Arabidopsis thaliana: one gene and its partner. The protein of the gene in region 1 interacts with the protein of each later gene in a pairwise test. Each region holds a gene or a part of one and is shown on either strand. Other genes may lie near its edges.

The links.
Region 2: the proteins of AT5G63440 (region 1) and AT1G03910 interact in binary tests that used the Arabidopsis thaliana proteins (3 or more experiments, as listed by UniProt).

The regions. Positions count from the first base shown.
Region 1 is NC_003076.8:25,404,434-25,409,003, forward strand, and holds AT5G63440 (hypothetical protein (DUF167)), read left to right. Parts: upstream 1-1,818; 5' UTR 1,819-1,926; coding exon 1,927-2,041; intron 2,042-2,587; coding exon 2,588-2,702; intron 2,703-2,794; coding exon 2,795-2,948; intron 2,949-3,024; coding exon 3,025-3,121; intron 3,122-3,216; coding exon 3,217-3,305; coding exon of another isoform or gene 3,306-3,353; exon of another isoform or gene 3,354-3,433; coding exon 3,434-3,502; intron 3,503-3,702; coding exon 3,703-3,762; 3' UTR 3,763-4,023; downstream 4,024-4,570. Other genes in the region: emb2746 (RNA-metabolising metallo-beta-lactamase family protein), read left to right, coding at 12-109, 203-627, 696-1,171, 1,282-1,374; CYP94B1 (cytochrome P450, family 94, subfamily B, polypeptide 1), read right to left, coding at 4,554-4,570. UniProt on the Arabidopsis thaliana protein: May play a role during early embryonic development. Probably involved in pre-mRNA splicing.
Region 2 is NC_003070.9:994,293-1,000,984, forward strand, and holds AT1G03910 (cactus-binding carboxy-terminal, cactin), read left to right. Parts: upstream 1-1,822; 5' UTR 1,823-1,925; intron 1,926-2,133; 5' UTR 2,134-2,139; coding exon 2,140-2,442; intron 2,443-2,555; coding exon 2,556-2,647; intron 2,648-2,884; coding exon 2,885-2,984; intron 2,985-3,125; coding exon 3,126-3,197; intron 3,198-3,311; coding exon 3,312-3,374; intron 3,375-3,462; coding exon 3,463-3,603; intron 3,604-3,876; coding exon 3,877-4,008; intron 4,009-4,127; coding exon 4,128-4,223; intron 4,224-4,440; coding exon 4,441-4,725; intron 4,726-4,816; coding exon 4,817-5,119; intron 5,120-5,211; coding exon 5,212-5,388; intron 5,389-5,467; coding exon 5,468-5,734; intron 5,735-5,819; coding exon 5,820-5,939; 3' UTR 5,940-6,145; downstream 6,146-6,692. Other genes in the region: ABCI19 (P-loop containing nucleoside triphosphate hydrolases superfamily protein), read left to right, coding at 62-113, 204-340, 536-622, 1,021-1,302. UniProt on the Arabidopsis thaliana protein: Plays a role in pre-mRNA splicing by facilitating excision of a subset of introns. Required for embryogenesis.

The DNA.
Region 1 (4,570 bases):
CGTTGCTGCAGTTAATGTATAGTGATGGTGATAAAGCATTTGGCACATCAAGCGAACTATGCATTGACGAACGACTTAGAATTTCTTCTGATGGCATTATAGTTCTGAGGTAAATCTGAATTGTAACATTCCTGTGCCAGTGCATTTTGTTAGTCGTATTTAATAATTTGTTGGCTTCCTTGTATGATTTTCTATAATCCAGCATGGAGATCATGCGTCCAGGGGTCTCAGAAAACACTTTGAAAGGAAAAATAAGAATCACAACGCGGTGCATGTGGCTTGACAAAGGAAGACTTTTAGATGCACTTCACAAAGCAGCTCATGCTGCTCTATCAAGTTGTCCTGTGACATGTCCCTTGTCTCACATGGAAAGAACAGTCTCCGAAGTCCTGAGGAAGATTGTAAGGAAGTACAGTGGTAAAAGGCCTGAAGTCATCGCTATAGCCACTGAGAATCCAATGGCTGTCCGAGCTGATGAGGTCAGTGCGAGACTGTCTGGTGATCCAAGTGTTGGTTCTGGAGTTGCAGCTTTAAGGAAAGTTGTTGAAGGAAATGACAAAAGAAGTCGGGCGAAGAAAGCACCTTCACAAGAAGCTTCCCCCAAAGAAGTAGATCGCACTTTGGAAGGTCTGGTCTTACTTTCACATTTGTAGGTCTATATTCGGGATGTAATCTAACATGTTTCAGTCATGCAGATGATATCATTGATAGTGCAAGACTACTGGCTGAAGAAGAAACTGCGGCATCAACATACACGGAAGAAGTTGATACGCCCGTTGGGAGTTCTTCAGAAGAGTCAGACGATTTTTGGAAATCATTCATCAATCCATCATCGTCACCTTCACCGAGTGAAACAGAAAATATGAATAAGGTAGCTGATACGGAGCCTAAAGCAGAGGGTAAGGAAAACAGCAGAGACGACGATGAATTAGCTGATGCTTCAGATTCTGAAACCAAGTCATCACCAAAACGTGTGAGGAAGAACAAATGGAAACCGGAGGAGATAAAGAAGGTAATCAGAATGCGAGGAGAGCTGCACAGTAGATTTCAAGTGGTGAAAGGTAGAATGGCATTGTGGGAAGAGATCTCTTCAAATCTATCAGCTGAAGGAATCAATCGAAGCCCGGGACAATGCAAATCTCTCTGGGCATCACTTATTCAGAAATACGAGGTTCGTCTCTGAACATATGAATCTGTAGCCGTAGATTTGAAGTTCATGATTACAAGATCAAAAGCTCTTAAGTTAGCAACCAAGATTTGATGTAATACATTTTTGTGCAGGAGAGCAAGGCTGATGAGAGAAGCAAGACGAGTTGGCCACATTTTGAGGATATGAACAACATTTTGTCAGAGCTAGGCACACCTGCGTCTTAAGTAATGTGATTTAGATGACATTATCTTCCCAAAAGAATCATCTCCAGATTTTCTTAAATTGAACAAAAACAGAAAAGCATTAATTATATTATGTATGTAACCAGCTGTAAGATGATTTTTGTCTGTAGAACTAGAAGCTATCAACGCAGAATCCAAATCCCAAGGGACAAGAAAGCCATGACTAGTTTTTTCGGTTTGGTTTAAGATTCGCTTTGGCTTCAAACACATGACTAACCGGAATTATTCAATTTTGATGTTCATGTGGTTTTCTTATTGGTTTTCGTTGATTTTATATACCACCAATCACTAATTTTTTTAATTAAATCCGGTTTAGATGCTGTTGTACATTGAACCAACAGTTAAAGTGAGAAATGACGGTTTCACCCTTAAAGCAGCGTAGCCCGTCTGGTATTCCACCGTCGATCGCCGCCGTGGCAATTTTGGTAATTTATTATTATTTTAAAAACAATGTGAAAGAGATTAATGCAAAGTTGAGAGCTGAGTTTCCGACAAATTTATTGGATTGACGAACTTTGAAGAAGAAGAAGAGAGATGCCGAAGAGAACGACACACACGTACTCGAGCGAGGACGCCGCGCCGGATGGACCCGACTCTGATCTCTTCGTATACTACTGCAAACACTGTGGTTCTCATGTCCTTATCACTGGTTCGTTTCTCCAATTTCACCTTTTGATTCCGAGTTTGGGGTTTAGTTGCGTTAAATTAGAGTGAAACCCTTTTACTTGCGAGATTGCTCTTTGGTTTCCAGATACATTGATTGGGAATTATGATTGAAAGTTTCAATCTTTGATTTACTTTGAACATCAGGTCATAGTAGTTTATAGTTTTTAAGTGGTGGATAACTTCTTGCTTTGAATTTAGATTAACAACAAACTACTTTTTAGGTCCAAGCACAGATTTTTACATGATTTCGATTTAGATTCTTGGGGTTTTGTTACTCTGGTAATGTTGATATTCGTTTGTGAACTAAAAAGTTGGAATGTGTTAAGACTTGTAGCTCATTGCATGTTTCCAGTAATTCTGTAGATTTACTTATGTCCTGAATCTTTCTCATTGGCTTGGTTACTCCTTGAGAACTTAAAAGCTAAGATTTTAAGTGGTGAAATATGTCGTTTATCCGATTAAGAGTGTAACATGCAAAGTTATGGTATCCTTGTATATTGCTTGTATACTAATTTAGATCCTTTACAAGATACCCAGTTGCAGAAGATGCCAAAAAGGAAGACCGACAGGTCGAATGTACTTGACAAGAAGACGCACCTTGCTAGGTTGAATGTCAGCGAGGGAGGAAAAGTTTTATTGAAACGGTAAGTTTTGGTCTAGAGCTACTGAGCCAGTGTTTGGATTTAACCATCGATTTATCTAAAAGTTTGTTTCTTTATGTTTGGTTTGTTACCAGTGGCGAAGGAAAAATGGAGAGACAGTTTAGAATGAACTGTATCGGTTGTGAGCTTTTTGTTTGTTATCGTGCTGAAGAGAATCTGGAAACAGCGTCTTTCATTTACATTGTTGATGGAGCACTTAGTGCTGTTGCTGCAGAAACCAACCCACAGGTACAATTGGTTTCTTATAATCTTTTCAATTCCAAGATCAAAAACTAGATCACTAATCTGTTGTGGCGGCACACAGGATGCACCAGTACCTCCCTGCATTTCACAACTCGACGGTGGACTTGTTCAGGTTGCAATAGAAGTGGAAGACCGTGCACAACGTTCAGCAATCACAAGTAAAACATAGTATTATGGCACAAAATCTATTTTCTTACTCACTTGACATGGATCTTCGATTAAACAATTGCCATACTCTTTTTTCTCTCTGCAGGGGTAAATGCTGATGATGTTCGTGTGACTGTTGCTGCACCAGCAGCCCGTGGGGAAGCTAACAACGAGCTTCTGGAATTCATGGGAAGGGTACCAAATCAATCCGTTATTAATCACTTTTTAAGATTTATACTCTAGTCACGGCGTTTCATATTTTGTATGTGAAAATGAGGTTTTTTGACCAACGCGACACGACCTCTGTGTTTTTACTCTTTCAGGTTCTTGGTTTAAGGTTGAGCCAGATGACTCTCCAAAGAGGTTGGAATAGCAAATCAAAACTCCTCGTGGTACGTTGATCCTTCCTTTGAGTCTCTTGAGAAGACTTTGTGAAGATTCATCTCTAAAAACTCTTATTGTTTTTCTTAGCTCTAGATGATAAGGTTTTGGCTTTTATACTAATGGCACAAGGACCTCTAATAGTGGTGATCAAAAATAGGTTGTCGCATTGAATGAATAACCCATTCTGATTTTTGTTCCCCTGAACCAGGTCGAGGATTTATCAGCTAGACAAGTGTATGAGAAGCTTCTCGAGGCCGTTGTACCGTAAAAACTGCGGTTTGTGGTTGGTGAACGACATTAGCTGAAATCTCTGCAACTCCTTAGTTAACACCCTTTATTGGTATGAAGAACGAGTTTTCGTATTTTACTTGAGAAAGATAGCTATAAACAAATTGCTTTCTTCTTTGTTTTCATGCTTATGCGACAACTAACTCTTTTTATACAATCCCCTATTGTTAAAAGTTATAATAATCGTCTATACTCTTTAGATTCCTTCAAAACTGATTTATCTATTTCGGACCATTCGAAATTGAAGTCATATGAAAAAAAGTTTGAAAATCTTTATATATATGTCTGCACTAATTTCAAAAACCTGTTATTAAAAACAAATTTTCAGTGTATAATCTGCAGAATAAAACGATCACTATTGCACTAATTAAGCTTAAGAATAAGATATATTTGTGTAGTCCAAAGGTGACTGTACTGTGACATGTTTCACATGTTTCAGTTCTATTTCATCGCTGTATCGGACCAATCGTCACAGACACAGTTAGCTAGTTTGTAATTATATATATCTGCCCCAATCTCTATTTATTAATATTAGAGACATACATATACTTCCAGAAAGTGTTTAATGCGTGACCTATGTCTATCAAACTGATTAATATATTGCATCCACTTCGATAAGACGACATACTGATTTATATTTAATTTTTCTATTCACAAGTAAACTGTGAATCCCACACATATATAATATATTTATTTGATTTAATTTATAAACCACACATTTTACATATTAGTTGGATATTCTACAAGGACATGACTTGATTAATCAATTAATTAAATATACATCGAAT
Region 2 (6,692 bases), on another chromosome or scaffold:
TACCGCTCGACTGCATTATCAATCTGATGTTATTTACTTTCTTGATTCTGCTACATTTTAGGGAGAGGTTCCTCTCCAGGGAGATTTCTCAGCAGAACATATGATATTTGGAGGTAATTTTCAGTAAGTTGATTTGTTTTATCTTTAGTCCCCTTTTTTCAGGCTTATAAACTGAAGGAGATTTTCTTTCGTTGTCCTTCTAGTTGAAGGAACTGATCCCGTGAGAAGAGAAAAACTGATTGATCTTCTTGATATCAATCTTCAATGGCGTATGCATAAGGTTTCTGATGGGCAGAAACGGCGCGTGCAGATATGTATGGGACTCTTACATCCATTCAAGGTGAAAACAATACTGTTTCAGAGAGGCTGATTATTCTGCATCCTCTAAAATCTCACATGATTCATTGTCAGTTATGTTCTCCTCTGGCTTTAAGCAAAAAAGAACCTCGTTTCTGATTGTGTTATCATCATTGCTGACGCTAATTTTAATCTGATTTTACAAACTTCTTATAAATCTCTCATGCTCTGATCACAGGTGTTATTACTCGATGAGGTCACTGTTGACCTAGACGTCGTTGCAAGGATGGATTTGCTGGAATTCTTCAAAGAAGAATGTGATCAGGTAATATTCTACCAGCCTCTTTAATATCATCTATGATCTCCTAAGTATATACAAGCCGTTTGTGTACATGTTTCTGTCGGTTAGTAACTGGAATATTAATGCTTAACCATTCAAGGACAAGCTTTTCATATCGGTTCTTGTTGCTGCTAAGTGATGTTGCCTATAATTACTATAGGGTCCTTGCATGTCTATGATCTGTGGTAGTACCATAAAAGGATAATTTAGTAGTAGCATGCATGTATCATGCAGTTTCAAGTGCAAATTTGTACCGGTTTTTATAGTTTCACTTCTTGAGTTCTGAGCACGTATTCGTATTGGAAGATTACAACTCACACACTTATTCTTACTGATGACTTATTGCATGATCTTTGACTTGTTTATACCATTGATTAACTCAGAGAGGAGCTACAATCGTGTATGCAACTCACATATTCGACGGGCTAGAGACATGGGCGACACATTTGGCCTACATTCAGGACGGTGAGCTGAATCGTTTATCGAAAATGACAGATATTGAGGAGCTGAAAACTTCACCCAACCTCCTCTCCGTGGTAGAATCTTGGCTCCGTTCTGAAATCAAACTCGTGAAGAAGAAGAAGAAGCCTGTGGCGCCATGGAAACCATCTCCATTCGATAACTCTCCTTTTAGATCATCGAGACACATGGCTTATTACCGATGATTGGTGATTACCAGTGAGATCATTGATCCTATATATGAATTTGATAATCGGTAAGAATAAAGACACCCGAGAGTAGTTCAGATTTCGTGTGTGTAGCTGCTATTTACCACTTGGCTCATTGAAGAATAGACAACAAATTGTACTTACAATTGTGCTGATATATATACCACAGTGATTTTCACAAAATGGGAAGTGAATTTATTTTACCGATTGCTTCAAACCCTTAATTCTATATACTTGATCTCTAAACATTGTGTAAATTGTGTAAATTTCAACCAAAATCTCTGAAATGTGTTTTTAACGTTTTTGATCATATAAGTGGACAATATGAACCGGCCGATTTTGCTCTTAACCAGTCGTTATTTTCCATAGACGGTCGGTTTTTCTTGAACCGGGAATTTCCACATGATTTTATTGACAGAACGACGTCGTATTAAAATAGAAGGAAAGAAGAACCGACGTCCGAATGACGAAAATCTCCCTGAAACTTAATAAATCTTAACCCTCCTTTGCTCGATCCATTATCGGGGAGGAGAAAATCCTACCGCCTTCACCACCGTCGCGCAGACGCCGCAATCACCAACACTCATCGTCACTGACTCCAGATCTTCCTCTCCAACTAGGTTTGCAATTCTCTTCTCCTTCCGCTGTTTATTGGTTTCAATTTCTGCTTAGATTCTCTTACTGCTGGTGAAACTTGAATTTGGAGCTTCTCTTTTCGCTCATTTAACCACTTCGTGTGTTCTTAGGGTTTAGATGTTGGTCTTTTAGGGACTCTCTTTGAATACTTGTTTATTGCACTTTAAGAATGATTCAATTTATCTTCGACAGAGAGATATGGGTTCTCATGGTAAGGGTAAGAGAGATAGAAGTGGAAGGCAGAAGAAGCGGAGAGATGAATCCGAGTCTGGGTCTGAGTCCGAGTCTTACACTTCTGACTCTGATGGCTCAGATGATTTGTCGCCGCCCAGGAGTTCCAGGAGGAAGAAAGGTAGCAGCAGTCGTCGGACTCGACGCCGTAGCTCAAGTGATGATTCCAGTGACAGTGATGGTGGACGGAAGAGTAAGAAGAGATCTTCATCTAAGGATTACTCGGAGGAAAAAGTTACGGAGTATATGTCTAAAAAAGCTCAGAAGAAGGTAAACTTATTGTTGTATGTTATTTTGTTTTTTGTCCTTTTTTTGTGTGTTTTAACCCTTGTATTTGTTGGAGCTGGTTGCTAACTTTATGCTACTTGTTAAATTCTTTGTAGGCATTACGTGCAGCAAAGAAACTGAAGACGCAGTCAGTGTCAGGGTACTCCAATGATTCAAACCCATTTGGTGATTCAAATCTCACTGAGACGTAAGTACTAAGAAAATATGATTATTGTTTCTGAGTTTTAGTGGTGTATAACTTTGATGATAGGATGTAGGAGGATTATGGAGCTCTCCTGGTTTTCTACTTGTACAAATTTTGAAATCTGGTAGTTAAAAAAGTTGGCTTAAATTGAATGTGTTATCGATTTGTACAGATGTACTTGTGAGTAACTTGGTTTTAAGAGTCTGCAATTCTCATGGCATGCAATTTTATTAATATCAGATTTGTGTGGCGGAAGAAGATTGAAAAAGATGTTCATCGAGGAGTACCGCTGGAAGAATTTTCCGTTAAAGCTGAGAAGAGAAGACACCGGGAAAGGATGGTATGTACAATAAGCATTACTGATTAAAAATATCGATGAAATTTTCATTTCCTTGATGCTTGTAACTATTTGCTATTTTTTCTGGTGGAATGAGCTTTCTGCTTATGTATTAACTCTTAAGCACTTTGGTTTAACGCGCAGACAGAGGTTGAAAAGGTTAAGAAGAGGAGAGAAGAGAGAGCAGTGGAGAAAGCTCGACATGAAGAAGAAATGGTAAATTCTGGTATCCAGAAGGATGTATACAATTGAAATTCTTATTAGCCAGTTACCTCTCTAATTTGGTTAATACTGTATAGCTATTGACTTAAATCGTTCTATCCTCTGCAGGCATTGTTAGCTAGAGAACGTGCTCGGGCTGAGTTCCATGATTGGGAGAAGAAAGAGGAAGAGGTATAACTGCGTTTTCTTTGCTTTTGCAATTAATTCTTCTTTACAGTTGTTTGGTGTATGTTGCTTGATATATCTGCTTGATCTACAGTTCCATTTCGATCAAAGCAAGGTGAGGTCAGAGATTAGATTACGTGAAGGTCGACTGAAGCCAATCGACGTCCTCTGCAAGCACTTGGATGGTTCAGATGATTTGGATATCGAGCTCAGTGAACCGTACATGGTTTTCAAGGTATTTAAAAAGATTATATTATATTGTAAAGCCATAGGCGTGTTAAGTTGTGGAGCTTTCTCACTGAGGTTTATACTTTCTTGGGCCCAGTCCAGTTCCATAACAGTTTCAGTCTATGCAATCAGTTCGATTGTGACCGTAGTAGACAGGGAACAAGCTTGAGATAAAATAAGTTATTCTGCAAGTCTAAGTATGAGCAATTTAGATGCTGGGATAGCATCTATTCTGGTTAGCTTTTCTGAGTATCTCTTATAACTCTGTGAACCTATGTAGAAAAAAAAAGTACGTATAGGAATTTGGCTGAATTTCCAGCTCAGCATAACCAACGTCTATGTAGAAGCAGAATATAAGAATGATTCTGCATGCTTGCTTTTGAGATCGAGAGTGGACATCTTGTTAAATAAAGTCTCTGATTGTGTAGTTGTTCTCTTTTTTGGTTGACAAAGAAGATTTTACTGGTTTGGTTTTATCAGATTGTTATGATTCTTATTATTAAAATTGACCCCCTGATCTGTATGATGCAGGGACTTACTGTTAAAGATATGGAAGAGCTTCGCGATGATATCAAGATGTATCTGGATTTGGATCGGGCAACTCCAACACGTGTACAATATTGGGAGGTATGTTCTACAACTGAGTCTCATTTTGCATTTGAGGAGATTCACGCATTTAAAGTTATTATGCATGTATGGAATTTCGATCCAAAAAATACATATTCTATGGACCATCTTGTTGTACCTTTTTGATGGTTGATTAGTATTCTTGCCTCTTTTTCATGTTATATTACCTGCTGCTTACGAGTAAATATTTGGGCTTAATACCATTGAAATTTTCCAGGCGCTTATTGTGGTATGCGATTGGGAGTTAGCTGAAGCTCGTAAGAGGGATGCCCTTGATCGAGCTAGAGTTAGAGGGGAGGAGCCTCCTGCAGAATTGCTTGCTCAAGAGAGGGGACTACACGCTGGTGTTGAAGCTGATGTGAGAAAACTTCTCGATGGGAAGACCCACGCGGAGCTTGTAGAACTGCAGTTGGACATCGAATCGCAGCTGCGTTCTGGGTCTGCGAAAGTAGTAGAGTATTGGGAAGCAGTTCTTAAACGCCTCGAAATATACAAGGCAAAGGTATTTGCTCGTGGATGATCATGGTGTGTTAGATTTTGAAAACTGAGGATTTGTTTTTCGCATCTTCACTGACTATATTGATGTTCAACAGGCTTGCTTGAAGGAAATACACGCTGAGATGCTGAGACGTCATCTACATCGCCTCGAGCAACTTTCAGAGGGTGAAGATGATGTAGAAGTTAATCCTGGCTTAACACGTGTGGTGGAAGAAAATGAGGAGGAGATAAATGATACGAATCTTTCAGATGCTGAAGAAGCATTTTCTCCAGAGCCTGTTGCGGAGGAAGAAGAAGCTGATGAGGCAGCAGAAGCGGCTGGTTCGTTTTCGCCAGAGCTCATGCACGGTGATGATCGTGAAGAAGCAATCGATCCCGAGGAAGACAAGAAGCTACTGGTATATTTAACAGTTCCTACAATTGAATTTTACACATGAATTATTGTTGTTGGTGCTTCTACTGACCCAAAATATGACTGCGGCTATAACAGCAAATGAAACGGATGATTGTGCTGGAGAAACAGAAGAAACGGCTTAAAGAAGCTATGGACTCAAAACCAGCACCTGTAGAAGATAACTTGGAGCTTAAAGCAATGAAAGCAATGGGAGCAATGGAAGAAGGTGATGCCATATTTGGCTCTAATGCTGAAGTGAACCTCGATTCCGAGGTACCCTTATCACTATTTTTCTCTTCTCTGCAACTTTTCAGTTTTGTAGAACAAAAATACCATAATTTTCATCTTCTAGGTATACTGGTGGCATGACAAGTACCGGCCAAGAAAACCGAAGTATTTCAATCGGGTTCACACAGGTTACGAATGGAATAAGTATAACCAAACTCACTATGACCACGATAATCCGCCTCCAAAAATCGTTCAAGGATACAAGTTTAACATCTTCTACCCGGATTTAGTAGACAAAATTAAGGCTCCCATTTACACTATCGAAAAAGATGGGACAAGTGCTGAAACGTGTATGATCCGGTTCCATGCTGGTCCACCTTATGAAGACATTGTAAGTACTCGTAACCATTATGTGGGTTTCATCATCACCTCTCGTGTTATCATTGTGCTCAAATTTATTTTTGTTTGCTTTTCAGGCGTTCCGGATTGTGAATAAAGAATGGGAGTATTCTCACAAGAAAGGTTTCAAATGCACGTTTGAGCGTGGGATTCTGCATTTGTACTTCAACTTTAAACGACATAGGTACAGGCGATAACCTTATCGGAGTTTGGCTGGAGAAGACGAAAGTGGCACTTGTAAGACTTTGGCTGATGTTTTTAAAAGCCTTGTTTGTAAGAGAAGGGCGATATACATAGTCTAAATTTGGATTTCTCTCAAGTTAATTTCTGAGGTAAGAGCTGTATTTGGATATTTTGTTGAAGCTGATCATCAAACAGAACCGAATAGAAAATGATTTTCCCACATGACAAACTAACAATCGAAAATGTAATGATGATAACTAACAAAATGTGACGTAAATAATTTGAACAAATCTGGAGTTGGTGTTTCTGCAAGAACTTTTTGGTGAATGAGTGTTATATGGAAAAGTTGGTGTAGAGACATGAATGTGTGTTTTGGTTGGGGACGAGAGAGACGAAGAGAGAGAGAGTTAAGGTGTTGAAGTTGCTTATTAGGTTGAGATCTCAACATCAAAATGCTTATAAAAAGATTCTGTTGGTAACTTAAGTAGTGGAGTAGAAGATATTATTTATTCTGACTTTTCCTTTCTTTTTCATCTTCCTTTTGATGTCTCTTTTTCTCCAAACTCTCCTCCACTCCAAGACAAAAAAAAAACCCTTCTTTTGTATTCGTATTACTTAAAATTTGCATTTCTTTTAATAATCTCGATTCTGAATATTATATTTATGTCTAATTTTCGTTACTAACAAACTAACATAACCAAATTTTCCGTATATATCCACCATTTAAGTTTAATGAAGCTTTTTGAAAATGAAAAACTAGTGCGTAG